4 linked regions of the Anolis sagrei genome follow. The protein of the gene in region 2 interacts with the protein of the main gene of each other region in a pairwise test. Links are inferred from orthologs where the notes say so. Each region holds a gene or a part of one and is shown on either strand. Other genes may lie near its edges. The genes, in order: NAA10, MEOX2, CNTNAP2 and OIT3.

Region 1 (8,021 bases), on a different chromosome or scaffold from region 2:
TTCATCTGATAGTTCTCCGGCAAGCAAAGGAGGTTGCAGTGCTGCATGTTCATCAGGTCTTCCGGCTGGAAGGGGAAGGCAGACAAAAAAAGATGAGAAAATAAACAAAAGCAGCAATGACCATCAAAAGACCATCCCTTCCACTAGGTGAGTGTGGCTAGCATATATAAATGTTAAACAATATCTCCAAATAGTGTGAAGACAAGCTGTGTTCACAATAATGATCACAACCACTATGTTGCCATTATTTTCAGGCCCTAATAATTTCCCCAAAGCATAATACAAACCCAAACAGTAACAGTTGACCAGGTGGATCAAACTGAGTCCAAATAGACTGTCAAGCACTATGATCTGTAATAACCAGATATAATTCTTCCATTTTCAGAAGAGCAAGAGTACCTTGAAATATTAAATATTGAGAATCTCCGACCTTTTCTTTCTGACAAGAAATACCCAGATGCCTCTGGCAATTCATAAACAAGGAAGGAAGGCTACCTTGTTTGCCTTCAGGATCCAATATCCTGAGGTATATTGCTCCTTTATTCCACCTTGAGAACCCACAACCATTGACAGGCTCAGATTTGATCCAGCAAGGCATTTTTCATGAAATCATCTAGAGTAATTCTAGAACATATCGTCTTTCATGTAATCAGTGGAAAAGGATTATGATCATCAAGTTTGATAATCAAGTTTGCAGACAACACCAAACTGGGAGGGATAGCTAATATCCTAGAAGACAGGAGCAGAATTCAAAACAACCATAACAGATTAGAGAGATGGGCCAAAACTAACAAAATGAAGCTCAACAGCAAGTCACTCCACTTAGGCAGAAAAAAAATGAAATGCAAAGATACAAAATGGGGGATTCCTGGCTTGACAGCAGTATGTATGAAAAAGATGGCCTTGGTTAGACCACATCTGGAATATTGTGTCCAATTCTGGGCACCACAATTGAAGGGAGATGTTGACAAGCTGGAATGTGTCCAGAGGAGGGCGACTAAAATGATCAAGGGTCTGGAGAACAAGCCCTATGAGGAGCGGCTTAAAAGAGCTAGGCATGTTTAGCCTGAAGAAGAGAAGGCTGAGAGGAGACATGATAGCCATGTATAAATATGTGAGGGGAAGTCATAGGGAGAAGCAAGCAAGCTTGTTTTCTGCTGCCCTAGAGACTGAGGCATGGAGCAATGGTTTCAAACTGTAGGAAAGGAGATTCCATCTGAACATGAGGAAGAACTTCCTAACTGTGAGAACTGTTCAGCAGTGGAACTCTCTGCCCCGGAGTGTGGTGAAGGCACCTTCTTTGGAGGCTTTTAAACAGAGACTGGATGACCATCTGTCAGGGGTGCTTTGAATGTGATTTTCCTGCTTTTTGGCAGAGGGTTGGACTGGATGGCCCACGAGGCCTCTTCCAACTCTGATTCTATTTTTCTAATGCTGGCTACCTAAAAAAGTAACAACAGAATTGCCCTAAACTGCCTAATAGTGGAAAGTCAAAATCAAAATATTTCACCCAATAACTCTTTCCCCTTGGCTTTCCCATTATTATTATATTCATAGCCCACCTTTTCTCAGTTTGGGATTCATATGTGTGTGTGTGTATTCATTCCTTTGTATCTAATTCTGAACCCATGGATTCTATAATCCATGGTCTGAAAATATTTTTCCTTGTTTTACCATTTTTTTCTAAGTGACATTATTTTACTATGCCACTGTGTACAATGTGCCATGAGGATCCATGGCTTCTGGTATCCACAGAGGGTCCTGGAACCAAAACCCAGCCAATACTGAAGGCCCAATGTACTGATGAAAAAAGTTACACTGTCCAAAAGTAAAAATGTAACTAAACTATCAAGAAAATTAAAAGAAGAGCAACAAATACAGGTAGAGTATCCCTTATCTAAAATACTTTGGATTTGGGAATATCTGTATTTGCACAAATTTACAGAATTAGATTATCTTGGGAATGTAACCCAAGATAATCTAAGTCCGACTCTGGGGGTTGGTGCTCATCTCCATTACTAAGCCGAAGAGCCGGCATTGTTCATAGACACCTCCAAGATCATGTGGCCAGCATGACTAAATGGAGCACCATTACCTTCCCACTGGAGTAGTACCTATTGATCTACTCACATTTGCATGTTTTCAAACTGCTAGGTTGGCAGAAGCTGGGGCTAACAGCAGAAGCTCACGTCGCTCCCCGGATTCGAACCTGCAACCTTTCAGTCAACAAGTTCACTGTGTCACCAGAGGCTTGGGGGGGGGGGGGAGCCCTTCCACACAGTCATATAACCCAGAACATCAAGGCAGAAAATTCCACATCTGGTTTGAACTGGGTTATCTGAGTCCACGCTGCCATATAATCCAGTTCAATGTGGATTTTATATAACTGTGTGGAAGGAACCCTTGTTTTACCAGGTGCCTCAGATCCCTGGATTCCACAGCATTAAGCCATGTCAATTAACGCGGTATCAAACTGCATTAATTCCTCAATGTAGATGCATCCCTGTGAGAATGCAGACACCAACAGATATAGGCTTGGTTGACACACTCACACTCCTCAAGAACTAGGCCTGTGATTCCCAACCTTTGGGGAGATTTTGGACTACAACTCCCAGAAGCCTCAACCACCTGGGCCAATTGTCAGGAATTCTGGGAGCTGAAGTTCTAATCACCCAGAGGCCCAAAGGTTGGGAACCACTGAAATATGGTATGAGGAGGGCCTTCTTTTTGTTGCCCTCCTTTCTCTGGACTGGGCGGGTGAACTCCAAGGCAGGCCTTCCTCTCTCTCTGTCTCTCTTCCCACCACTGGCAGCCTCGCCCCAAGCCCACCCTTTCCCGCCCCAACCGGGACTCGAACCCGCGCATTCCGGATGTTCATGGCAGCGACGATTCTTTCTCGGCTCTCACGCGGCCACTGGAACCACCGACGCCCTGTAGCTGTGCCGGGAAGACAAGGGCTGGGCGAGAACGGGAAGAACGCGGCCAGCTCTGCCGCGCAGCCAATGGCAAAGCAGAGAAGAGAAATCCCCTAGCCAATCACGATGCAGAATTTACCCCCTCTCTTGTCCAATTTGAAACACCATCCAAATCTGAGCAAAGGCCTCCTCCTCAACACCCAATCAGGGTGTGTCTATGAGTCGCCCCTCTGGCCAATCACAAAGCTTCTTGCTCACTCCCTTTTAGGAAGACAGTCCCCGCCTCTTTTAGCCTCTCTAGAGAACAAACCCGTCAATGAGACTGCACTCAGGTGGCTTTTGATTGATTGCTGAGGGAGCCTATTAGATACTAGACTGAGGTCGATTGACGCCCACGGTACCAGAAACCCTACAAAAGGTGATGATTGATTGCCAATCCCGCTCTTATAATAAAGTTCCCAATTAACAAGTGTTATAGAGGTGGGAAACAAACTAATGAATGTATTGGGTTTTTTTGTAGGCCACAATGGCTGGATCTACACTGCCCTTATATCCCAGGATCTGATCCCAGATTATCTGCTTTGAACTGGATTATATGAGTCTACACAGCCAGATAATCTGGGATCAGATCCTGGGATATAAGGGCAGTGTAGATCCAGCCATTGTGGCCTACAAACGCCCAATAAATTCATTAGTTTGTTTCTGCAAAAAAATTTCCCACCACCACGCTTCCAATGAATTGAAAACAACTGCCAGGCCATCAAATACTAATCAAGGTGGTTAGTTGAAACATTCACACCTAGCTCCAACAGACAAGAGTCCTTTGTCCCACCCTGGTCGTTCCACAGATATATACAGGGGTGGCTCAACCCATTACGCAAAGTAAGCATTTGCAGTATAGTTGATTTTGCCCAGGGGCGCTCTTGAGGCGCTCTTGGGGGAAAATACACCTTGACATATGCGAGTTGTGGTTACTGAGATGTATAGTTCACCTAAAATCAAAGCATTCTGAACTCCACCAATGATGGAATTGAACCAAATATGGCACGCAGGACTCCCACGACGAACAGAAAATCTATATCAGTGATTGGTTTGGGGGGGGGAGGGGCAAAGTACTGTTTGCTTACCGTTGAAAATTACCTAGGGCCATATATAAACCCATTTTCCTAGTTCCAACAGACCTCACTACCTCTGAGGATGCTTGCCATAGATGCAGGCGAAACGTCAGGAGAAAATGCCTCTAGACCATGGCCATATAGCCCGAAAAAACCTACAACAACCCAGTGATTCCGGCCATGAAAGCCTTCGACAATACAATGAATTGAAATCTCACTGAAAGGCTGTCATAGGAAGAGGGAGCAGTCTTCTTTTCTCCTGCTCTGGACACTAGAGGCCCTTCCACACAGCCATACAAACCAGATTATCAAGGCAGATAATCCACAATTTCTGCTCTGAACTGGGTTATCTGAGTCCACACTGCCATATAATGTAATTCACTGTGGATTTTAGACAGTTGTGTGGAAGGGCCCTAGGACTCAATGGAGCCATGGGTTCAAATGGCAGTAAGGAAATTCTACCTGAATACTAGGAAGAACTTCCTGATTGTAAGAGCTGTTCAACAGCGGAACCCTCAGGCTCGGGTGTTTTGGAAGCTTTTTAGTAGAGGCTGGATGGCCATCTCTGCTTCAATTAGTCCAACGGTTGGCAGCCAGGCTGCTCACTGGAGCGGCGTATAGGGATCATAACTTCTCTGTTACGCCAGCTCCACTGGCTGCCGATCAGCTTCCGAGCACAATTCAAAGTACTGGTTTTAACCTTTAAAGCCCTAAACGGTTCTGGCACAGACTATCTGTCCGAACGTATCTCCTGATATGAACCATCTCGAAAATGATCATCTGGAGAGGCCCTGCTCTCCAGATGCCTACCAACATGGCAAACTTGACTGGTGGGGACAGGGACAGGGCCTTCCCGTCAGTGGCCCCCCGCCTGTGGAACGCTCTCCCCAGAATCATCAGAATGGCCACCTCCCTCCTGTCTTTTAGAAGAAAAATCCAAGACCTGGCTATGGGACTAAGCGTTCAATTAGTGAGCAGCAAGTAAAAGAAGATTTTAACAGTTATGGCAATGATTTGACCACGACTGGATTTTAGACTTTGATTTTAATAGGTGTGTGTTAATCAATTGTTTTAATTATTGTTTTAATATTTTTAATATTTTAATGTATTGGGTTTTTTTTATTATGATGACACCGTATGGTGTTTGTGAGGCCGCCCTGAGCCCCCCTTGGGGGTGAGAAGGGCAGGGTATAAATATAGGATATAAATAAAATAAATACAGATATTTTTCCTGCGTGGCAGGGGGTTGGACTCGAGCTCTGAGGATTACCTGGCAAGGAATACCACTGGAGCATTGGAACACACCAAAATACCTGGGAGTTACCATGGACTGTTCTCTGACCTATAAGAAGCACTGCTTGAATACGAAGCAAAAGATGGGCACTAGAAACAATTTCATACAAAAGATGACTGGCACAACCTGGGGATCACAACCAGATACAATGAAGACATCTGCCCTTGCGCTTTGCTACTCTGCTGCTGAGTATGCATGCCCAGCCTGGAACACATCTCACCATGCCAATACAGTGGATGTGGCTCTTAATGAGACAGTGTGTCCAACACCTCTGGAGAAATTACACTGTTTAGCCAGTATTGCACCACTTGACATCCGCCACGAAGTAGCAGCCAATAATAAAAGGACCAAGGCAGTGACATCTGCAACCCATCCTCTGTTTGGATATCAGCCAGCACGCCAACACCTTAAATCAAGAAATCACGTTCTAAGAGCTATAGAGATACTCACAGGAACACCTCAGCAAGAAAGAGTCCTTCAGGCTATATATTTATATGCAAACATTCTGAAATCCCAAATACTTCTGATTCCAAGCTTTTCGGATAAAGGGTACTCAACTGGTAATTTTTTTTCTTACTGTAATTCTGGATCTTTGAAGTTGTGAGTGGCAGCACTTAAAATCAGAAATGCTGTGGACCGCCTTTTATTTAGTTCACTGCTTCTTAAACTGTGGTTCCGGGCCCCAAATGGGGTCCCCTTAGTTCAATGCTGGGGTCACACAAAATTTGGCAACAGTTAAAGGTCTCCAAATGCCACACATTTACACAAATCTGTTAGCAATGACGATGTGCAGCGTTTACACATCTGCAGAAGATGCTTCAGCTGTACTCCAGAAAAAGGAAAATTAGCCTGTGTAGCAAGTCCCCTAAATATTGATTTGTTATCAGTAAATGTTTGCTTTTTATACCTATGTTCTATACCTATACACACAAAAACTTAATGGATAATAAGGGGAAGCAAGTGGAAAAGGTTTAAGAGACACTTGTTGAAAAGCAAGCCATGGATAAATAATATAGATCCCGAAGATAGGATTATATTCTTGTCCAGCAGGCGGCAGTCATAAAGAGCACATTTGTTCACTTCCGCTGGGGAAAAAAACCCCCAGTATTTACTCCCTGGCATGTCAGAGCTGCATTTCCTGAGAGTATGGTAGTGACTATAGATGAGGATTGCTTCATTCATGGTGGGACTTCTAGGCTGACCCTTTATTTCCTGGAGTACAAGCTTTCCTTGTAGGCCCTGATCAGATTCAGTTAAGGATCACAGCTCACCTCCTTTTTTTTGTCTACTGAAAACATCTTCCAAGTGCCATGCATTCCAAATCTAAGCACAACCAGTGAAAATGCCCTGTTTGGAGAAGATCAGCACACAAATCAGCACTCATTTTCTTCTTCCCATGTTATTTTCTCTACCTCGGCTCCTTATTAAGCCTCTTTGTGTTCATAATTGTATTATTTTTAGAAACTAATCATGCGATAGTGAGCAACTTTGATATGCTTTTCAAAAAAATTAGGATTTAAGTCTGTGTGTTCACTAACTGATTTATGCATATTTATTCACAAGCGACTCACTCACTTGTAAATTCTTCTCCTTTACAGGGCTCACACCTTTGTATGTTTAGGGTTGCACCCTAAACTATAAAATCAGGAAAGCCATTCAATCTTGCCTACATGGCCTAAGGCAAATTTATGTTTCTGGCTTAGCAATGCTGAGTTTTTAAATGGCATTTTAATTTTATTTTAACTTTTATATCCCTGCCATCTAGCAGTTCGAAAGCATGCAAGTGTGAATAGATCAATAGGTATCGCTTCTGCGGGAAGGTAATGGCGCTGCATGTAGTCATGCCAGCCACGTAATCTTGGAGGCGTCTACGGACAACACCGGCTCTTCGGCTTAGAAATGGAGATGAGCACCAGAGTCCCATACGAGTAGACTTATATACACACACACACACACACACACATACACTAGCCGTCCCCTGCCACGCATTGCTGTGGCCCACATGGGGGTTCTATGTGGGAGGTTTGGCCCAATTCTATCGTTGGTAGGGTTCAGAATGCTCTGTGATTGTACGTGAACTATAAATCCCAGCAACTACAACTCCTAAATGTCAAGATTCAAAGTTTGAGGATCACTGCCATAGAGATTGCTACAGAGCTGTTCAGGTGGAGGTTCTCCACAGAGCGACACTGAAGAACTGAAGAAATTTCTAGAGAGAATAATTTGATCAAATCTGAATAATCAGTGACTGACTGAAAACAAAAAAAATCTTTCCCCATTCCATTCCTATGACTGGAGATGCATGGACATAAGGTGTTTTTTTTTATTTTCAGAAATCTTTTAAGACTTGGTATGGTGTTACACAAGTTGTTGAATTCTTTTACCTTATGCAGATTCATTCTGTTTCAGTTGGCCTTGGGATGAGGTTTGTTAGTGATGGAAAATTAGTTTTTAGTGGGGCTATTCCTTCACAGAGAAATCATTTGTAATGGGGAGATGGGTAGAGTAGAAATCCTTCCTCAGGCCCCTTCTACACTGCCATATAATCCAGATTATCAAAGTAGACAATTCACATTGTCTGCTTTGAAGTGGATTATATCAGTCTACACTGTGATATAATCCAGTTCAAAGCAGACAACCTGGATTTTATATGGCAGTGTAGAAAGGTCCTCAGGCATGCTAGATATATCTATGGCA
Region 2 (7,908 bases):
AGTTGATAGGTAGATAGGTAGGCAAATTTTAGTCCTCTGTCTATCTATCTATCCACATAGATATAGGGGGAAGAGGGAGATACATTTGGTAGATAGATATATAGATAGATCAGGCATGGGCAAACTTCAGTCCTCCACCTATCTATCTATCTATCTATCTATCTATCTATCTATCTATCCTTCCATCCACATTTATATAGGAAGTGAGAGATATATAGTTGGTAGATAGATAGATAGATAGATAGATAGATAGATAGATAGATAGATAGATCAGGCATGGGCAAACTTCAGTCCTCTATCTATCTATCTATCTATCTATCTAGCTAGCTAGCTAGCTAGCTAGCTAGCTATCCTTCCATCCACATTTATATAGGGAGTGAGAGATATATCGTTGGTAGATAGATAGATAGATAGATAGATAGATGAGAGAGAGAGAGAGAGAGAGAGAGAGAGAGATCAGGCATGGGCAAACTTCAGTCCTCTATCTATCTATCTATCCATCCATCCATCCATCCATCCATTTATCTATACAACTAGATATAGGAAAGGGGAAGAGATACAGCTGGTAGATAGATAGATAGATAGATAGATAGATAGATAGATAGATAGATAGATAGATAGATAGATAGATAGATAGATAGATAGAACAGGCATGGGCAAACGTCAGTCCTCCATCTATCTGTCTATCCATCCATCCATTATCTATACAACTAGATATAGGAAAGGGGGGAGATATATAGTTGGTACATAGATAGATAGATACAGCATGGTTAAACTTTGCTTCTCTGTCGATTTCCATGTATCTATCTATCATCTATCTATCTATCTATCTATCTATCTATCTATCTATAAACACAGACATAGGGATATATACAGTTGGCAGATACTAGATATATAGATAGATCAGGCATGGACAAACCGGTCCTCTATATTTATCTATCTATACAAATATATATATATATAGAGAGAGAGAGAGAGAGAGTTGGTAGATAGATCTATAGATAGATCTATAGATAGATCAGGCATGGGCAAACTTCAGTCCTCTATCTATCTATCTATTCCCTATATATATATATATAGAGAGAGAGAGAGAGAGAGAGAGAGAGAGATACAATTGCTAGATAGATCAGGCATGGGAAAACTTTTTTCCTCCAGATGTTTTGGACTTCAACTCTCACAATTCCTAACAGGCAGTAGGTTGTTAGGAATTGTGGGAGTTGAAATCCAAAACAGTTGAATACAAAAATATATTATTTTATGTTTATTTCGAATATTTGTACCTCACCCTTCTCTACCCTGGAAGGGGGACTCGGGGCAGCTGAGATAGAAGAAAGAGATGGGTGGATAGATTAGATAGATAAATAAATAAATAGAAAGTCAGTTAAAATGTTCATAATAAAACGTAAAAACAATTCACATCACAATTTAATATATTATGTTGGCATAGGGGTAAGAGATACCTTTGGATAATGGTTTTAGGGATCAGGTGGGGGGGGGGGGTGCCAACAAGCTCTGGCATGCCATTGTAGAGGCTGTCCTGGATTCAAAAAGAAAAGGCAGACTTGTCTGAGACCACAGATCATTCCTAAGCTTATAAAACCAAAGAATCTATATGGGAGGATATAGATTGGTGTTCTCTCAATTTGTTTCAAGGAAACCTCTGCATATGTAGCATCCTTTCATGTTCTAAGTATGAAAACCATAAAATCAATATGTGTCAAGATGGTAATCAAGTAGCTTGACAGGTGTGGGGAGCCCTGCCGTAAAATGAATTGTCCACACTTGTAATTGCACTGCAGCGGAAGTGCTAGTCCACAGCTGTTTGCCATATTGAAATGTATTCACTTGACTGAAACAGACCTCTGGCCAAGGGGCTTATTTTGGGCCAGAGAGAGAGAGAGAGCAAGTTTAAACTCTCCAGGAAACTTCATTTCTAGACTCTTTGGATCTGAATCCAGTGCACACGGGTTTCTGTCTATCCCTATTAGCACATTTCTTCAGAGACACCCCAGTGTGAAAGGCATCTTGATCTGAGGGATCTCTTTCATTGTTTCCACAGGCTACTTTTACACATCATAGAACTGGTCCAAGTTATCCATCTTCTAAATAAAAAATCAACAGTCGCTCCAGGACAAGACTGAGACATCTCTTTTCAGCACTAGTTAAACTATAAACTATTTTGCTGACAGACATGAGGAGGCTGGTAAAGATTGTATAAATGAAGTTGTGGTTTTTAAAGGCGATTGTTTTGAAATATATGGAGCATGACTCTTGGAGTGAGACTGAGAGCTCCTATTTGACAAGAAAATAATTCCAGGATAGTCTTAGATTTGTGACTAGCTTTATAACAATCACTGTTTTTGTTTAAAAGTTGGAAAAGAGCACAAAATTACTTCATCGAAATCAATTCTCTGTATATGTGGTACAGTAAATAGCTGTACACCCAATCCACCAAAATGCTGGGGAGTAAGAATTCTAATATTTAGCAAGGGGAAAAATATAACATTTTTATGGCACATCACATATGTTACCTCAATAATCCTTATAACCTAGTAAACTCAGCTGATGTTATTATTCCCATATTGTGAACAGGAGGAATGCTTAGGCCAGGGATAGTGGCTTCCCTAAGGTCATTTTATGTCTTCAAGGCTGAAGGAAGTTTAGAATCATGATGAACTTCCCATATTATAACTCTTTTCTCACAGTTCATACTCCTGCAATTCAATATCATGCAGGCTTACTGAGAAGTAAATCCCATTGAATGTAGTGAGAATTCCTCCCTAGTAAATATGTTTAGAATTGTATCCTTAACCAATATCCTGCACCAGGGAAACTAGCACTTAAAAAAAAACCTCTTGAGGCAATGAAGCAGAGAAGATTTCATTTACCTTTTTTACTTGCCAGGAAAAGATATCCTGAGAGTTGCAATATAAAATATTTATGCAGAATTCTCCCCATGGATTTTGGAGAGAAATGTGAGGATGCGAAGCTTATTTTCCCTGAGCTGCTGGGTCCAGTGAATCCAGTATTTAATATGGCCCTGATATCCCAGGCTTGCTCCCAGCTTGAGACAAGGAAAGTTCATAAGGCCATATCACACATTAGAAAACAGCTTATGCTGACGATTCATGGAAATGAAAACTAATATTCAAAAATATACCTGAGATAAAATAGCCTTTAGGGGCAACCATAAAAATCAGTGGGTTTAAATTAAGTCTTTTCCAGCTGCAGCTTTGTTTTGAACCTTCTTGTGATTCTGAAGTGTGTGTATGTTTGTCTTGGGGTATTGCAGTTTTAGCTGAAAGGTCTTGAGGGTCCTTGGAGAAACATCTACAACCTCATCAAATAGCTGGTTCTGGACCTCCATGTAAAGAGGTTCTTAGTCTCACCATATACATCTTTAAACCATGTGTAAATTGTCTCATTGATGACTATGAATGTAGGTGTATATTTGTGGCGGGAAGCTCAATTGGCCAGGCTTCTCTTTAGTCAGTGTCCATGTTGCATTAAATAGACTTGTGTCCCAGATACTGGCCTACATATGAGGAAGGAGGTCCCAGGACTAAATTGTTTACTGTGACATGTGATGGGCTATTGTTCATCAGTTCATGAGTGAGATCATGGAAAGGAAATTTGATGACTGTGTTGAAATGAAGAGAAGAATAAAGACCAAAAAGTCTGTATTGTTCATAAGAAGTTCCATCATGCTGACTCTTTTCAATGAGACATCTCACAACAGTGTCAGATAGCTGCTAAGGTCTCACAACCAGTCCCTAACCTAACTACCTGTCTCTGGTCTCTATTCTAGTAGAGCTTCTGAACTCAAGATTTTGGGGGTTTCCATTAGTGGGAGAACATGTGCAAAGGGAAGTGTGGAGAAACTGGAACCAGTTTACCACCTTTTTCCTAAGCAGCATGGTTTCAGTGGCAGCTGAACCTGAGGAACAGTTCAAAATTTTAGTCTAAAATGTAGCAGAGGTATCCAAGGTGCTGAATGGTGTTTCCAAAACAGCTTTGGACATTGGATAGTTCTTTCAAATATAGGGTTAGAGCCTGGACTAGATTCACCACTCTTGCTGAAAGGGGACACATTTGATGCCAGTATGAGTATACGGAGCTTTAGTCAAACCATTCTGTCCTCTGGAAGGTGAACAGAAGAATTTATGCAGCAGGAGATACAACCTAGTTCTAGCTGCCACCTCTGCCTGCTTACTTGGTCACTTTTAGTTCTAGGTGACATAACAAAGGCAATGGAGTCTGCTGGGTCCATGCAACCTTGAAGAATGGTGTAAATGGGCAAAGCAGAAAGGATTGAAACACGAGACCAATTAAGCAGGTCTTGATTTCTCAGTTGTGGCACATTGAGCTCCTTGATCTGGTGGCATAAAGTGAAAGATCAGAACCAAGTTCCATCCAGAAAGATTTGCCCAGCTTTTCCCCATTCAACAATTTCAACTCGACACTTCTGTCCAGTGGAAAGGGCAAATTGTTTGGAGAAGGCCCCATCCCATGTTGTTCATGGAGGACAATATCATGGAAGTAGGAGGAGATGCCTTCTTTATCCAGGGTCTGCTGCTTAGGAGAGAATCAATTGGGGAGTGAGGGAAGTCACACAGAACCAAGAATCATCCAGAAAGATTTGCCCAGATTTCCCCTACCCAACAACTTCAACTCAGCACTCCTGTCCAGTGAAAGGGGCAGATGGTTTGGAGAAGGTCCAGTCCCATGTTGTTCATGGAGAACAATATCATGGAAGTAGGAGGAGACGCTGCTTAGGAGAACCAATTGGGGGAGTGAGGGAAGTGACACTCTGAGCCGCATCCTGCACCACCCAAGAGAGGTTTAGTCAATGGAAGTGCCCATTAGCCATTGCTTCCCCGTCCTTCCTTGGGTAGTAGTGATGAGGCCCAGAGGGAAGGAGCAGCAGGAGTGGCTCCAGCTGAGAGTGAGAGGGATCTATTGTGGGGGGAGCCAAGAGAGTTGGGCTGCCAGAAGTTGAGAGGAGGACCCTGGCTAAGAAGGCATGAGGACAGCCCCCCTGGGGTCAGGGCTTGGGTCCTCCGAGTGGCCGGTGGCAGGGCTGTGAGGCTGAAGCGGGGAGGCCGCTGCCTGTGGTCAGTGCGCCGTGCAGCCTAAGCCAGCCCCCGGCTCACGTTACACACTCCTGTATTTATAACCTCGGCGAGCCGCTTCCCCCGCGGAGGAGCAGCCACAACAGCAGCAGCAGCAGCACTCGGGACCACCTCCTTTTTGCCGGCAGAGCCGAGCCCCGCGCCCCTTTCCCCCCACCTCCGAGCCAAGCCAGTGAAGCCACCGCCGGGACCGGTTGCGCGCCGAGGACTTGGATTATTATTCCCGGTTGCGCTCCCTTGGCCCGCCTCGCCTTGCCTGGACGTGCCCTGCCTGGCTTCGGGGGTGGCTGGCAGGAGAGCCGAGGGGCAGGAGGAGGAGGAGGAGGGGGGCGAGGAGGACCCGGGCACCAGCGCCTGGTGGTTCTGGGCCCGCGGCGGGCTTTCGGGGCCGGAGGCGCGCGGGTCCCGCTTGGTGCATGCCATGGACCACACGCTCTTCGGCTGCCTGCGCAGCCCCCACCATGCCCCCGGCCAGGGCTTGCACCCCTTCTCGCAGTCCGCCCTCGCCTTGCACGGCCGCTCGGACCACCACATGTCCTACCCGGAGCTCTCGGCCTCCTCCTCCTCCTGCATCATAGCCGGGTACCCCGGCGAGGAGGGCATGTTCGGCAGCCAGCACCACAGGGGGCATCACCACCACCATCACCATCACCACCATCACCAACAGCAGCAGCAGCCGCAACAGCCGCCGCCTCACCAGGCTTTGCAAACGAATTGGCACATTCCGCAGATGGCTTCGCCGCCGCCGCCCCCTCCACCTCCTCCTCCGCCGCCCGCCTCGTCCAGGCATAGCCTGTGCCTCCAGCCCGACTCGGGGGGACCCCCGGAGCTGGGCAATAGCCCCCCGGGACTGTGCTCGAACTCGCCGAGCTTGGGAAGCAGCACCCCGACGGGCGCGCCGGGAGATTATGGCAGGCAGGCGCTGTCCCCGGTGGAGGCCGAGAAGCGCGTCGGCAAGCGGAAAAGCGACAGCTCAGGTAAGGAAGGGCACACAAGGGGCTTCTCCCTGCGAGACGGGAAGGGGAGGTGGAGAGGGGCAGCCCGGGATGGGCGAATCGCCCAAGACTCCTCCTGGCCACTCCTGGCCTGGTGTCACTTTTGGGGGGCGCAAAAAGCTTTGTATGACGGCTAAGGCATAGGCCATGCGGTTGAACCATGAAATCGCTCGTCCACACTTCCCAACAGGCCAGAGGGGGGAACTCTCGGGGAGTTTGGACTCGTGTGCGCCTCTGACACCTGGGTTTCCCTTCCGGGATTCCCCACTTGGAAAAGAGAAGCGCTTTCCCCACTCCATCAGCCAGTTTATTTCCCTAGTTTCTTTTTTCAGCCAGTGCTTAACTCTCGAGAAGTTGGCATTTCTTCTTTTGGTTTATTTTATACAGGATGTTTTAATGCTATACTTCTTTGACTGGGAGTAAATCCCAATGAGATAAATGGGATTTACGTCTATGTAGACATGGATTCCTATCCATTACAAAGCTTTATTTGGTTTGTTTTGTAGAGGAAGCCATAATCCTATGGCTGGGATAAATCCCAATGAAATAAATGAGGTTCATGTCTATATAGCAGGCATGGCCAAATTTAAGCCCTCCACGTGTTTTGGACTTCAACTCCCACAATTCCTAACAGCCTCAGGCCCTTCCCTTCACTTAAGCGGCTGAGGGGGGAAAGGAAGGGCCCTGAGGCTATTAGGAATGGTGGGAGTTGGAGTCCACAACACCTGGAGGACCCAAGTTTGCCCATGCCTGCTATATAGGCACAGATTTGTCTCCACTACAATGTTGTAACATACACGTCCCTCTCCTCTGTCGTTTTTACAAGTTATGTGTTCTGTATTTAATAGCTTCTGTAATTTCCAGCTTTTACATGCTACATACAATTTTATATACAGGGTCCTGAACATGTTTGGAAAAGGATTTGAATTATTAATCTACTAATTAGTGAAATCTAAGAAAATGTCCCTCTATTATAATCAATTTCAGTTCCTTACTGAAGCATATTTACATAGGATACACACTCACATACTCAGTTAAGGATTTATTGTGCTAGTAATATGCCTGTTTGATTTTGAAAGTAAATCGAGGTGTCACTTTGGCTATATATATATGTGTGTACTAGGGTTGGATTAAATGTGCTACCAGCATTCCAAGCAGTTTTGTATGACAGATGTTGGCCCCATGATAAAACTGCTAAAGGTAAGTTATACAGACAGGCACATGCAAAAGAAAAGGAAGTTGTGGTTAGAAAGAGAAAGTAATAGCATTTCCCTTGTATTATTAGAAATACAAGGGAAGCCATGATCATGTTTCCTTTAAATGCAAGCTGAATAATGAAAAAAATAGTTTTCTTTCTGCATTTTCTATATTTAACAGACTTATTTCTATTTTCAATAATTTCCCTATACCAATTATAACACTTTTTCAGAAGTTGACAGGTTCTCATACTACATACCTAGTGGTTTATAAAGAAATTGGTTTTTCCAAATCATCACTAAATATGTAACATGTATGAAGAAAATTCAAATTTCTAGGGCATATAATTTTAAATTGGCAGATGGGTAAGTGTAATAACTTAAAATTCTATTACCTAAAAATGGAAAGGAAATTTTAATTTCACTTTGTTGTTATACTTCAAGTCTCAAATATGTAAACTTAAATTACAATGAATTACAGTATAATCCACAACACAATGAAGCAATTTTCATTTATTTGATATGTGAATATTGTTGTTCTTAATATTACCGCTTTATACTCATACTCATAATGAAAAAAATCTT
Region 3 (6,871 bases), about 32 Mb from region 2:
CAGCTTCAGGATTTTCAACCAGATAGGTTTTTCTCTGAAATAAGAACTAGATCAGTAGCAATAGGAACACAATATCAAGTTTAGATCTTCATATGTCTGCCTGCAGCTGTCACCAATCAGAACATATAAAATAAATGCATTCATTTTCCGGTCCCAATTCAAGGTGCAGGTGCTTACCTACGAAGCCCTAAACGATTTGGGACCTGCCTACCTGCGTGACCGCATCTCCGTATATGAACCCACACGATCTCTCCGATCATCTGGAGAGGCCCTGCTCACGATCCCACCTGCGTTGCAAGCACGATTGGTGGGGACGTGGGACAGGGCCTTCTCCGTGGTGGCCCCCCGACTCTGGAACTCTCTCCCCAAGGACATCAGACAAGCCCCAACATTGCCAGTCTTTAGGAAGAGCTTGAAGACGTGGTTGTTCCAGTGTGCCTTCCCAGAATAGGAAACTCCAAACATTATGTCCCAAATGCACTTTATTAGAGATTTAAGACTGTCTGCACACCACACCTATCTCCAAAAAACCTATCCATTTCACCTGTCATGCCCAGCATTTTAAAAATTTTAATAGTTACATTGGCCCGGCCTTAGTTTTTAAATGTGTCATGGTTATTATTGTCTAATGCTAATTGTTATTGTTTTAATGTTTATTGCCTGTTTTATGAGTTTATTTATTGTTGTATTTGTTATGATGTTGTTTTTTGATGTGTTGGGCTTCGGCTTCTTGTAAACCGCACCGAGTCCTTCGGGAGATGCTAGCAGGGTATAAATAAAGGTTTATTATTATTATTATTATTATTATTATTATTATTATTATTAAGTGAAGAAACTGGAAATGATTATGGGGAGTATGGTTTCATCTTCTTACTTTCCCTTTCACACTTCCTTGTCCCCTCTGTGTCCATCACTTTCTGTGCCTTAGCATGGGCACAGAAGATGGGGCTGGGGAAGGCTGCTTTTCCCTTGCTAAGCGCCCGACTGCCTTCTGTGGCCAAGACTTTTGAGTTGCCGGGGGACAGCCCTCCTCACGCCTTTCCTAGGCGAAGGCCAACGCCCGGCAGGGAAGGCGGAGGGAAGCTGTCCAGGTTTCAGCACTTCGGTTCAAATCCAATGTTGGTGGGGTTCAGAATGCTCTTTGATTGTAGGTGAACTATAAATCCCAGCAACTACAACTCCCAAATGACAAAATCTTTTTTTTTTTTTTTGAGTGAAGGACATACATTGAGTGGTTAAGTGTCTTGTGTCCAAATTTGGTGTCAACTCGTCCAGTGGTTTTTGAGTTCTGTTAATCCCACAAATGAACATTACATTTTTATTTATATAGATAAATGCAAGTGAAGAAACTGCAAATGATTATGGGCAGAGGCGGCCCTAGGAAATTTTCAATGGTAAGCAAACAGTATTTTGGTGCCCGCCCCCCCACCCACCCAACCAATCACTGATATATATTTTCTGTTCGTCATGGGAGTTCTGTGTGCCATATTTGGTTCAATTCCATCATTGGTGGAGTTCAGAATGCTCTTTGATTGTAGGTGAACTATACATCTCAGTAACTACAACTCGCATGTGTCAAGGTCTATTTTCTCCCAAGAGCGCTTCAAGAGCGCCCCTGGGCAAAATCAACTACACTGCAAATGCTTACTTTGCGTAATGGGTTGAGCCGCCCCTGATTATGGTTTCGTCTTCTTCTTTCCCTTTCACCCTTCCTTGTCCCCTCATAGAATCATAGAATCAAAGAGTTGGAAGAGACCTCATGGGCCATCCAGTCCAACCCCCTGCCAAGAAGCAGGAATATTGCATTCAAATCACCCCTGACAGGTGGCCATTCAGCCTCTGTTTAAAAGCTTCCAAAGAAGGAGCCTCCACCACACTTCGGGGCAGAGAGTTCCACTGCTGAACAGCTTTCACAGTCAGGAAGTTCTTCCTTCTGTTCAGATGGAATCTCCTTTCTTGTAGTTTGAAGCCATTGTTTCATGTCCTAGTCTCCAGGGAAGCAGAAAACAAGCTTGCTTCCTCCTCCCTGTGGCTTCCTCTCACATATTTATACATGGCTATCATATCTCCTGTCAGCCTTCTCTTCTTCAGGCTAAACATGCCAAGCTCCTTAAGCCGCTCCTCATAGGGCTTGTTCTCCAGACCCTTGATCATTTTAGTCGCCCTCCTCTGGACACATTCCACCTTGTCAGTATCTCTCTTGAATTGTGGTGCCCAGAATTGGACACAATATTCCAGGTGTGGTCTAACCAAAGCAGAATAGAGGGGTAGCATTACTTCCCTACATCTAGACACTATACTCCTATTGATGCAGGCCAAAATCCCATTGGCTTTTTTTGCCGCCACATCACATTGTTGACTCATGTTTAACTGGTTGTCCACGAGGACCCCCAGATCTTTTTCACACGTACTGCTCTCAAGCCAGGCATTGTCCCCCATTCTGTATCTTTGCATTTCGTTTTTCCTGCCTAAGTGGAGTATCTTGCATTTGTCACTGTTGAACTTCATTTTGTTAGTTTTACCCATCTCTCTAATCTGTCAAGATTGTTTTGAATCCTGCTCCTGTCTTCTGGAGTATTTATCCCTCCCAATTTGGTGTCGTCTGCAAACTTGATGATCATGCCTTCTAGCCCTTCATCTAAGTCATTAATTCACTCTGGGCAAGAGCGAAGAGAGGCCAGGGGACAGCACCATCTTGTCTCCTGCATTTGCCATCCGTTGGGGACCCCTCCCCTCAGCACCAACTGCCGCTCTGGGCCGGAGTGAAGAGAGGGGGGCCAGGGGACAGTTCCACCTTATCTCCTGTGCTATTCTAATAATATGTTATAATATAATATATAATATATTGTATTGTATAATATTGTAATGTAATGCAATATAATACTACTAATAATAATATGATATTATAATTATATATTTATATTACATGTAATATTACTAATAATATTACAGTATAATTGATATAGTGCAATATAGCAATAATTAAAACTGATATTGTACTATGTTAATAATATATTGTATGTATATATACCTTGTAAGCCGCTCTGAGTCCCCTTCGGGGTGAGAAGGGTGGCATATAAATGTCATAAATAAATAAATAAATAAATAATAAATTAATTAATACTGTGTCCATCACTTTCTGTGCCTCAGCATGGGCACAGAAAATGAGGCTGTTTTTCCCTTGCCAAGTGCCTGACTGCCTTCTGTGGTCAAGGCTTTGAGTTGCCGGGGGACAACCCTCCTCACGCCTATCCCAAGCGAAGGCCAACGCCCGGCAGGGAAGGCAGTGGGAAGCTGCTCTGGGGTTCCAGCACCTTGGACAGTGACGTGGGGAAAAAGCTCTCTGGTGTTTCAGCACCTCAGTCAGCGAGCGTGGTCCAACCTGGCGCTACAGAGACTCTGGGTTTCAGCACCCTGGATAGTGACGCGGGGAGAGAAAGCTCTCTCTAGTGTTTCAGCTCCTCGCCCAGCGAACCGGGTCCAACGCGGCGCTACCGCTGCTCTGTGGTTTCAGCACCTTGGACAGTGACGCGGGAGGCAAGCTCTCTGGTGTTTCAGCACCTCGCCCAGCGAGTGCGGTCCACCCGGCGCTACAGAGACTCTGTGGTTTCAGCACCTTGGATAGTGACGCGGGGAGAGAAAGCTCTCTGGTGTTTCAGCTCCTCGCCCAGCGAGCGGGGTCCAACCCGGCTCTAGGGCTGCTCTGGGGTTTCAGCACCTTGGACAGTGACGCGGTCCAAGCTCCCTGCTGTTTCAGCACCTCGGACAGCAGCACACTGCAAGCAGGCGCCGCATCGGAGAAGAGGCTCCGCCGGCCAGGGAGGGCCGCACTGACGGAGGCGGCGACGGGGAGGAGCTGCCGCTGCTGGCGGAGGAGCTCGGGAGGGGAGGGAGGGGAGGAGGATTTTCCCGCAGCTCTCCCTCCTTCCTCCTCCTTGCCTTCGCTGGGTCTGCTGCTTCTGCTGCCAGTCGATTCCTCCTCTTGGCAGCGAATGACGACTGGAGGCGGCCAGAGCCTCTGAGACAAGCTGCTCCTTTGCGGCCCATCGGACGCCTTGGCTGAGAAGAGCAAGGCCAGGATTGGGAGGAAGGGCTGCGCCTCTGGCTCTCCTCTTCTTCTTCTTCCTCCTCCCCCGGTGCCTCCCGCACTCCAAGGGGGAGGCGCGTTGTGAAGAAGGGGGCGCCGAAGTGCCCGGGACTTGGCTTCTCCAGGAGGAGGGGGAGTGAAGTTGCCCCCCTCTCTCAGCATACCCGAGTGAGGAGGCGGCGCCGGCCAACCCGCAAGGGAGAGAAGGCACTTCCAGCCTTTGCTTGGTTGTTTCCCTGGCTCCTGGGACCCCCGCGGCGGCGCCTGGCAGCCCAGGATGGCTGCGCTCCCCCTGCGCGCCGGCAGCCGGGCAGCGCTCTTCCTCTGGATTCTCGGCCAGCTCAGCTGCAGAGCCCGCACAGCCCCACCGGCTTCCCGTAAGTCCTGCATCCCTCCACGCAGGAGGAGAGGTTGGGTTCGGGGGCGGAGGGGGGCCGGCTTCTGCGTCGAGGGGCTGCGGCAGAGAGGGAAGTTTGGCTGTGCAGAGAGTGGCTCCCGGAGGACGGTTGGGTTGGCTGCGCTTTCGGGGAGAAAGGAGGAGAAAGTTTGGCCTCTGCTTGAGCTGGACGGCAGCCTTTGGAGCTTGTTTTCAGTTAAGAGGTGACAGCAGCAGCCGGTTGGGTTGGATGCTGGTGGACCAGAGGCGTCCTGGGCTGCAACAGAGCCAGAAAAAAGCATCTTTGACTGCTAGGCTGTCCTGTTTCTTTTTGTCGCGTGGCTTCAGGAGACTGTTGGGCTTGGCAGGGCGGGTCCCTCTCCTAACACTGCCCTGAAGATTGACTGGTCTCCCTACTGCCAGCCTTGGGCTTTGACTCAGCGCATTTCTCTCCGCTGGCCCCACTTTTCGGAGGCAGTCCTTCCCTTCTCCTTTTGAGAGCTGGGCCTTAGTAACTCTAGAGCAGGGGTCCTCAAACTATTTAAACCAGTGGTTCTCAACCTTTCTAATGCTGTGACCCCTTAATACAGTCCCTCATGGTTGTGGTGACCCCCAACCATAATATTGTTTTTGTTGCTACTTCATAACAGTCATGTTACTACTGTTATAAATCATAATCTAAATATCTGATCTGCAGGATGCATTTACATTCACTGGACCAAACTGGGCACAAATACCCAATACGCCCAAATGTAAATGCTACTGGGGTTGGGGGAGGATTGATTTTGTAATTTGGGAGTTGTAGTTGCTGGGATTTATAGTTCACTTATAATCAAAGAGCATTCTGAACTCCACCAGCAATGGATTTGAACCAAACTTGGCTCCCATGACCAATTGAAAACACTGGAAGGGTTTGATGGGCATTGACCTTGAGTTTGGGAGTTGTAGTTCACCTATATCCAGAGAGCACTGTGGACTCATGCACTGGTGGATCTGGACCAAACTTGGCACAAATACTCAATATGACCAAATGTGAACACTGGTGGAGCCTGGGGAAAATAGATTTTGACATTTGGGATTTGTAGTTGCTGGGATTTATAGTTCATTACAATCAAAGAACATTCTGAACTCCACCAACAATAGAATTGGCTCAAACTTCCCACATGGAATCCCCATGACCATCAGAAAATACTGTGTTTTCTTATGGTCTTTGGCGACCCCTCTGACACCCTCTCGCGACCCCCTCAGGGGTCCCGACCCCCAGGTTGAGAAACACTGATTTAAACAGAGGGCCCGGTCACAATCCCTCAAACTGTTAGAGAGCCGGATTATAATTTTTTTTAAAAAAAATGAATGAATTCCTATGCAAACTGCATATATCTTATTTGCAGTGCAAAAACTTAAAAATAATACAATAATTAAAATGAAGAACAATTTTAACAAATATAAAGTTATTTGTATTTCAATGGGAAGTGTGGATCTGCTATTGGCTGATTAGATAGGGTTGTTGTTGTGTGCTTTCAAGCCATTTCAGAGTTAGGTTGACCCTGAGCAAGGGCCAGGTAAATGGCCTTGGAGGGCCGTATCTGGCACTCGGGCCTTAGTTTGAGGACCCCTGCTCTAGAGGGCCTTCCACTCACTCTGACTATCAGGGATATAGCTTTCCATGATGACTACAGGGGAAGTTTTGCTTCTACTTCCTGGGTGTGTTCAGGGTTTTAGGCCTGCCATGGAATGCTGGACCTATTGTAATCCAGCAGAAAGGCATCCAAAGGCCCCTTCCACACAGCCCTGTATTCCAGAATATCAAGACAGATAATCTCACTATATCTGCTTTATAATCATAGAATCATAGAGTTGGAAGAGACCTCATGGGCCATCCAGTCCAACCCCCTGCCAAGAAGCAGGAAAATTGCATTCAAAGCACATCCATGCCTTGGTTCAGAGAAGTCAGCTATGTCTATGAGTTCATAAGTGTGTGTCTACAAAAGTACCTGGTAGGGTAATGAATGGAGACAAGGTGGTTCCAGATTTTAGAATGGATGAGTGCAATTCTACTCACTCACTGCATGTTTTATATAAAGGTCTTTAATTTCCAGGGAATAAGATTTCCTTGATCATAGAATTATAGAATCAAAGAGTTGGAAGAGACCTCATGGGCCATCCAGTCCAACACCCTGCCAAGAAGCAGGAAAATTGCATTCAAAGCACACTGGACAGATGGCCAACCAGCCTCTGTTTAAAAGCTTGAGAAGGAGCCTCCACCATACTCTGGGATAAAGAGTTCCACTGCTGAAAGGCTCTCACAGTCAGGAAGTTCTTCCTAATGTTCAGATGGAATCTCCTTTCTTGTAGTTTGAAGCCAATGCTCTGTGTCCTAGTCTCCAGGGCAGCAGAAAACAAGCTTG
Region 4 (7,271 bases), on a different chromosome or scaffold from region 2:
CTTAAAAACTCTGGCATAGACACTGAGAACTGGGAAGCCCTGGCCCTTGAGCACTCCAGCTGGAGGTCAGCTGTGACCAGCAGTGCTGTAGAATTTGAAGAGGCATGAATGGAGGGCGAAAGAGAGAAATGTGCCAAGAGGAAGGCGCGTCAAGCCAACCTTGATCAGAACCATCTTTTACCGATGCCCTCACTGCGGGAGAAGATGCAGATCAAAAATAGGGCTCCACAGTCACCTACGGACCCACCAGTACACTGATCTTGGAAGACTATCCTACTCGGACAATGAGGGATCGCCTAAGTAAGTAAGTAAAAGCAATATATATATATACAGAGAGATATATATATATACAGAGAGAGAGAGAGAGAGAGAGTTTGAAGGGACTCCAAAGCCCATCCAGTCCGACCGCCTACCATGCAGCAACGCACAATAGAAACTCTGTGCTTTCTGTATACCACCCTACAGTGGCATTTTCCCAATTGCTATTAATGAGGAGATTATGCATTCAAGGAAAAGACTTGATTGATCTCAAGGAAGGAAGCACTGTGCCAACAGAAGGAACTGTGTGCTGATGAGAAGAGCATCGGAGCTATTCCTAGCAAGCAGAACTTCGGAAAACTCTGAAAACATTACAAGTGGAAGAGGCGAGAGAGAGAGAGAGAAATGTAATAAAAATGTTCATTTCACTTCTCATCAGAGTTGTACTTAATCTTCTGTGAGCGGCTTCTGCAGCAAAAGTTTGCAGCTTAATCTTTGCATATATTTAACACCTGATTAAGCATCAGTTAGCCATAACTGGCTGGGTCTGCCATTGCGGAAGGATTTATGATAATGTTTTTCTTGACTAAGGCCAATTCATTACTTTTGATCGTAGTTATACTAAAATACCCAATTGCTCTGATTAGGCACATCCGAACTGAGCAAAAAGCTTTTTCGTTCTTTTTGAGATTGGATTCCCACCAAGCCGCTTCTCCCACTGTTGTATTACTTAATCTAAATTTTAGGAAATGTGAGACACTGTTGGCAGCACCGTTGAGAAACAAGGATGCATTCTGAACTAATGAGAAAATACCCTGGACAGAAATGAACAGTGACTGCTGGCTGCCTATTATTTGAGAGGCGAGGGTTGCCTGTGATTACAATAGTTATTCTGGTTGCAATTCAGCATGATTCTATTTCAGCTGTTCAAGCTGCGTGAGTACCTTTGCTCAGGAAGCCAAAACTGTACTATCCATATGCAAGAGGAAGGTATTGAGAAACACTAAAAAAAACTTCAGAGAGAAGCCATAGTATGCAATAAGTAAGCTATAATATAATATATTGTCGAAGGCTTTCATGGCCGGAATCACTGGGTTGTTGTAGGTTTTTTCGGGCTATAAGGCCATGTTCTCCTGACGTTTCGCCTGCATTTATGGCAAGCATCCTCAGAGGTAGTGAGGCCTGTTAGAACTAGGAAAGTGGGTTTATATATCTATGGAAAGACCAGGGTGGGGCAAAGAACTCTTGTCTGCTGGAGCTAGGTGTGAATGTTTCAACTGACCACCTTGATTCGCATTTGATGGCCTGGCAGTTTTTTGAATTTAAATTAAAACCATTTAAAATAGTGCAAATTCAATTAGTTGGCCACATGTAAATCTGAGTTCTACAATCAACAACTTGGTGCGAAGCCTGTCCATAGTCCATTTACCATAGCATGGTCGTCATTTATCAACCTACTATCCAAATACTGGTCCCATTGACAGGTTTTCAACTTTTTCATGAAGGACAAGAGGGAAGCAGTTGACCCAGTTTTGCTGGGGAGCAAGTTCCACAGGTGGGGTGGGGGGGCCACCACCAAGAAGGCCCTGTCTCTCATCCCCGCCAAGCGTGTTTGCAACAAAGGTGGGATTGAGAGCAGGGCCTCCCCGGAGGATCATAAGCTTCGAGGTTTTTAGCGTTCTCTGCCAACTTGTACTCGTGCCTCACCAAACTACAAACCTCAGTCCATTTACCATAGCATGGTCATCATTTATCAACCTACTATCCAAATACTGGTCCCATAGCCAGGTTTTCAACTTTTTCCTGAAGGACAAGAGGGAAGCAGTTGACCCAGTTTTGCTGGGGAGCAAGTTCCACAGGTGGGGTGGGGGGGCCACCACCAAGAAGGCCCTGTCTCTCATCCCCGCCAAGCGTGTTTGCAACAAAGGTGGGATTGAGAGCAGGGCCTCCCCGGAGGATCGTAAGCTTCGAGGTTTTTAGCGTTCTCTGCCAACTTGTACTCGTGCCTCACCAAACTACAAACCTCAGGTTTCCATAGCATTGAGCCATAGAAGTTAAAATAGGGTCAAACTCCATTAATTCTACAGTTGAGAGGCAACTTGAATCAATTTACAGGATCTGATGTCAAGTCAACCTACTGCATATAATGTAAGGAGATACTGATTCAAAGGTTTACATATTTGTGACATTTACACGGAAATCTTAATACCTGGAGAGAGGGAATCATACTTTCCAACACAGGCAGGATTCTGTGTTACTGTGAAAATATAAGGTTTGCAACCTTGACTTTATATCCGATTTTGGAAAAGTTTCTTTTTCAGGCTTCAACAGTGGTCTCTGGAAAACACTTGTGAAGAAGTAATTTTTGCGAGATCTGCTTTAAGATTCCATCATCCTTCGTAACACCTGTGTATTTACTGCACTAAAAGCTGACTTGCCAAGGAGACTTAACAGGACATGTACAGGCATTGAATAAATAGTTTAGCATCTACTCACCCACTGTATTATCCTGTAAAGGCTGTGCTTTGGCCCGGAGGCAGAAGGACAAAAGGAGAAGCAGAAACATCCCTCCTTGTCCAGGGCGACTTGTGGTATCAGAATAATCCTGTTAAACGCACTCAATTGATTTGCTGTGATGTGTCTTCAGTCTGAATGTGGAACCAAGCTCGGAGTGGATCAGAGAAAGACTAGTCAGGATGCTAGGGGTTTTATCAGAGGAAAAGGATGAGGGGATACGGAGGGGTCATTTGTAGCCTTGACCTACTCTGTCTTTTAGAGACAAAAAAGACTTTTAAAAAAATGTCACCCATTTGGTATATTTTCAAACCCATCCTCCAATTGTTCTCTTGATTTCCAGTGACACCTCTACTATCTAATCTGTAAAGTGTGACCAAGAAAGGGCTACATCCTGTGCAAACGGGGATGGGGAGGAAAGATGGGTCATCTTTATCACCATTTTAATTTCCCTCCATTCTATTTCCTTAAAAGAGGAAAAGGTGACCAGAGAGATTCTTGCTCTGAGGAAACAGCACATGAAGGAACAAAGTTTCAGTCCTGAAGTTTCCAAATGGGAACATAAATGTATAATGGCGCACAATTGAGACTCGTGAGCCAACTGCAACCGTACCTTGCGAAGGCTGATCTGCCCGGGGTGGTCCATGCCTTGGTCACCTCCAGATTGGACTACTGCAATGCGCTCTACATGGATCTGCCCTTGAAAACGGCTCAGAAGTTCCAACTGGTCCAACGAGCAGCGGCCAGGATGTTAACTGGGGCCCTTACAGAGAGGTTGTCAACCCTCCTGTTCAAGGAGCTCCACTGGCTGCGGTTCATTTTCCGAGCCCAATTTAAGGTGCAAGTGCTTACCTACAAGCCCTGAACGGTTGGGACCATCCTACCTGCGTGACCGCATCTCCGTCTACGAACCCACACGTTCACTTCGGTCATCTGGAGAGGCCCTGCTCGTGATCCCGCCTGCGTCGCAGCCGCGTTTGGTGGGGACACGAGACAGGGCTTTTTCTGTGGTGGCCCCCTGACTCTGGAACACCCTCCCCAAAGATCTTAGACAGGCCCCTTCCCTGGCAGTCTTTAGAAAGAACTTGAAGACCTGGCTGTTCCGGTGTGCCTTCCCAGAATAAGAAATCTCCAAGTCCCATAAGCACTTTATTAAAACTCAGATTGCCGCACACTGCACACTGCACTTGCCCTATAAGCCTTATATACCACCTGTCACATCAGCACTTTTAATCCTGTACCCATCACTCTGGCCCGGCCCAGTTTTATTGTGTCTTAGTGTATTGTTTATTGCTTGTTGTTATATTGCTTTAATTGTTTTTAATTTGCCTTAGGTTTTGTATTGTTATATTGTGTGTTGAGGCCTTGGCCTTTGTAAGCCGCATCGAGTCCTTTGGGAGATGCTAGCGAGGTACAAATAAAGTATAATAATAATAATAATAATATGGAATGGAGTAGATAAGGAATATCCTTCTCAACTCAATCAGGTAAAGAACAAGAGTTAGGATGGGTTAAAGTACTGTACAGAAAGCTGGCATGATGGTCAGGTGTTGGTCCTAACTTGGTAGTCAGAAGTAGGGCAGTTGAAGTATTTTGCACTGAACAGGACAGCAAAAATACAATGTAATGACCAGAACTAAAATGTCCCTTTGACACACCATGCCAAGTGAAACTTTGCAGTATGTTATAAAAGCCATGGGAGAAATCCAGAAACTTGTTCGAATGAGTTCTAGATTCATCCTAAACCTTGCCCCATCTTAAAATTTGGCACATGAAGCAGAGGACACACTGCTACATAATAAAAGCCAAATAGTAAACACCGATATATAGCAGACACAAATGAAAAACCGATGCTCTTACTGCAGAGCTATCAAAGAGAATAGCTGGTTTTGGTGCTTCCGAAATATAAACTGCCACTGAAGGTTGACAGTACAGCCAGTCAAGGGAAGCAATGTGCTGTCTATTTACAAGCTGGTGTACTTCACCATTCAGGATCAAATAAAAAAGTGATAAGTTTCAGCTTCCCATTTCTGATGTGAAATACAATGACATATAAGAAAGATATTTCCTGGCCATTTCTTTTTCTCCTCCCAAGCTCAGTTCATGTTTGCTGCCTAGTGTTATTCATTTGGACATTAGTTGCTCCCTCTATGGTTGATCAATGGGAATCCATTAAAACCAGATAATCACAATGGCCTCTTGTTTATGTCTGTCTGCACTGAAGAGAGAAACTGGTGCAAAGCCATTACCCTTCATCATATGTTGTTAGCTTACACAAGACTGTAGAGTTTCCAGCCTCCAGTGACTTGTCTTTCTGTATTAAGGATTAACGTTTGAAATGCGTCTATATAAGCAGAGACGTACAGTATACTGCGGGGGGGGGGGGGGGGAACCTGCAAGAAATTTCCTGTTTCCACAGTGCCACTTTCTAACTTATAATTCACTCTGCATTACACGAATCTACACTGACCATATGATGCAGTTCAAACTGCATTATATGGCAGTGTAGATGGAGTCTTAGATGCAAGAGACAGTGGCCCAAGTTAAAATCACTTTTCCCCATGGGATCCTATTTATCTGCACCACAGCCCATAAGATGCAAGAGACAGGGCCCCAGGTTAAATGGGATCTTATTTTTATGCACCACCCAAGTTAAAATAACTTTTCCCCATGGCAGGCCCATAGCCAGGATTTTTATTTGGGGGGAGCTGAGTTTGATTCGGGGGGGGGGGGGTGAATCTGAGTGAAAGAGGGTCTACCCTAGCAAACCTTTTGTATCGTTACCCCAATACCCCCATGCTTATGGGATATATTGAGCATGGTGATCAGATCATGATATAAACAAACATAACAGTTTAAATAATGCACCAGTAAGGCCTTCTCGCGGACCACCATGATAATTTGGGGGAGGGGCTGAAGCCCCTCAAGCGCCCCACCCCAGCTACATGCCTGCCCCATGGGATCCTATTGATCTACACCGCAGCCCATAGGATAAAAGAGACAGGGGTCCAAGTTAAAATCACTTTTCCCCATGGGATCCTATTTATCTGTATGCACCACAGCCTATAGGATGCAAGAGACAGGGGCCCAGGTTAAAATCACTTTACCCCATGGGATCCTATTTATTTGCACCACAGTTCATAGAATACAAGAGACAGTGGCCCAGATTAGTGCTAAGCTTAGTGACAGCCTGCCAGGTAGGTGCTAAGTTTGATTGAATTCCATTGTTGGTGCAGTTCGTAATGCTCTTTGATTGCAGGTACAACTGCAACTCCCAAATATCTGGGTTTATCTTCCCCAATCCTCTCCAGTATTTTCTTTTGGTCATGGGAGTTCTGTATGCCAAGTTTGGTCCAAGTCTGTAATTCGTGGGGGGTCTTAGCTGTCTGTGGAAGTCAGAGCTGAATCTGTTGAAGGTACTGCAAATCCTATCATCCCTTGTTTATACCGACCCAAACATATTGTTTTTCTGATTAATCACTGTTTTAATTAGATTCCATTTGTATCTATGAAAATATATCCTGCATGTCAGATATTTACAGTACGATTCATAACAATAGCAAAATTACAGTTATAAAGTAGCAACGAAAATAATTTTATGTTGGGGGTCATCACAACATGAGGAACTACATTTAGGGGTCATGGCATTAGAAAGGTTGAGAACCACCGATTTAGTCACTACATGCTTTAAACAGAGTGGATTTATTGCTTGTGTTTTGCTTGCAACTTCAGACTGCTTTTTGTTAGTTGCCAAGGAGTGTTATAATTGATAAGAGAATGCCATAAAATTTGAAACTTTCCATCAAAATGCTTTAAATTTTCCTTTAAATGTAACCAAAAAAGGATTTATTTAGTCTCATAAGAGTACCCCCATTACAAGTAATTCCAAGCACTGAATTTCTGTGCACACTTTTGGAAGAAATAGGGTCATTTGTTGGAGTGAATCCTCCTAGTGTGATTGGAAAAGTTTGCAAATCCTGTTTTGACTCACCAATTTGACGGGAAGCCATAGAGTGCATTCATTTTCTGTAATCTTTTCTACCAAATATAGTTTCGACAAAATGCAGGACATAGGAAGAAGAAAAATAACACTTATCACGGATGATGTGAAATTGCCACACATGGCAAGTCCTGGTCTGCAGTTCACTGGAGGTTGCATAGTCCAGATAAGCTTGGACATGCTTCTAAGATTGATAGCTCGAGGTCAAGGAACTAGGAAGATCACATTTTGGTAAACAAGTTACACTAGAAATCCATGAGTTCATATCATGCTCTAGGAAATGTTAAATCAACAACAAACAAACAAACAAAATTGCTACTGGAATGAAATGCAGACAGGAAAGATAAAAATAATCCAACACAAAAGTGCAAAAATAGACAAAATAAACATTTTGGAGAAAAGGGGAGAACCCATGGGCTAATAAAATCCAAATATCTCAATGCTCCATCCTTACATTTGGCAATATAAGGTTGGCCTCACACATCTCACTACTCATTTA

Evidence for each region.
Region 1: the proteins of MEOX2 (region 2) and NAA10 interact in binary tests that used the Homo sapiens proteins (3 or more experiments, as listed by UniProt). The two-hybrid records come from large-scale screens. The link is inferred for Anolis sagrei from reciprocal best matches to the Homo sapiens genes MEOX2 and NAA10.
Region 3: the proteins of MEOX2 (region 2) and CNTNAP2 interact in binary tests that used the Homo sapiens proteins (3 or more experiments, as listed by UniProt). The link is inferred for Anolis sagrei from reciprocal best matches to the Homo sapiens genes MEOX2 and CNTNAP2.
Region 4: the proteins of MEOX2 (region 2) and OIT3 interact in binary tests that used the Homo sapiens proteins (3 or more experiments, as listed by UniProt). The two-hybrid records come from large-scale screens. The link is inferred for Anolis sagrei from reciprocal best matches to the Homo sapiens genes MEOX2 and OIT3.

The regions. Positions count from the first base shown.
Region 1 is NC_090022.1:176,150,969-176,158,989, reverse strand, and holds the start of NAA10 (N-alpha-acetyltransferase 10), read right to left. Parts: upstream 3,007-8,021; 5' UTR 2,879-3,006; coding exon 2,858-2,878; intron 66-2,857; coding exon 1-65. UniProt on the Homo sapiens protein: Catalytic subunit of N-terminal acetyltransferase complexes which display alpha (N-terminal) acetyltransferase activity. Acetylates amino termini that are devoid of initiator methionine.
Region 2 is NC_090026.1:96,461,309-96,469,216, forward strand, and holds the start of MEOX2 (homeobox protein MOX-2), read left to right. Parts: upstream 1-4,889; 5' UTR 4,890-5,553; coding exon 5,554-6,109; intron 6,110-7,908. UniProt on the Homo sapiens protein: Mesodermal transcription factor that plays a key role in somitogenesis and somitogenesis and limb muscle differentiation. Required during limb development for normal appendicular muscle formation and for the normal regulation of myogenic genes.
Region 3 is NC_090026.1:64,582,471-64,589,341, reverse strand, and holds the start of CNTNAP2 (contactin-associated protein-like 2), read left to right. Parts: upstream 1-3,865; 5' UTR 3,866-4,364; coding exon 4,365-4,464; intron 4,465-6,871. UniProt on the Homo sapiens protein: Required for gap junction formation. Required, with CNTNAP1, for radial and longitudinal organization of myelinated axons.
Region 4 is NC_090023.1:177,570,365-177,577,635, reverse strand, and holds the start of OIT3 (oncoprotein-induced transcript 3 protein), read right to left. Parts: upstream 3,002-7,271; 5' UTR 2,825-3,001; coding exon 2,755-2,824; intron 1-2,754.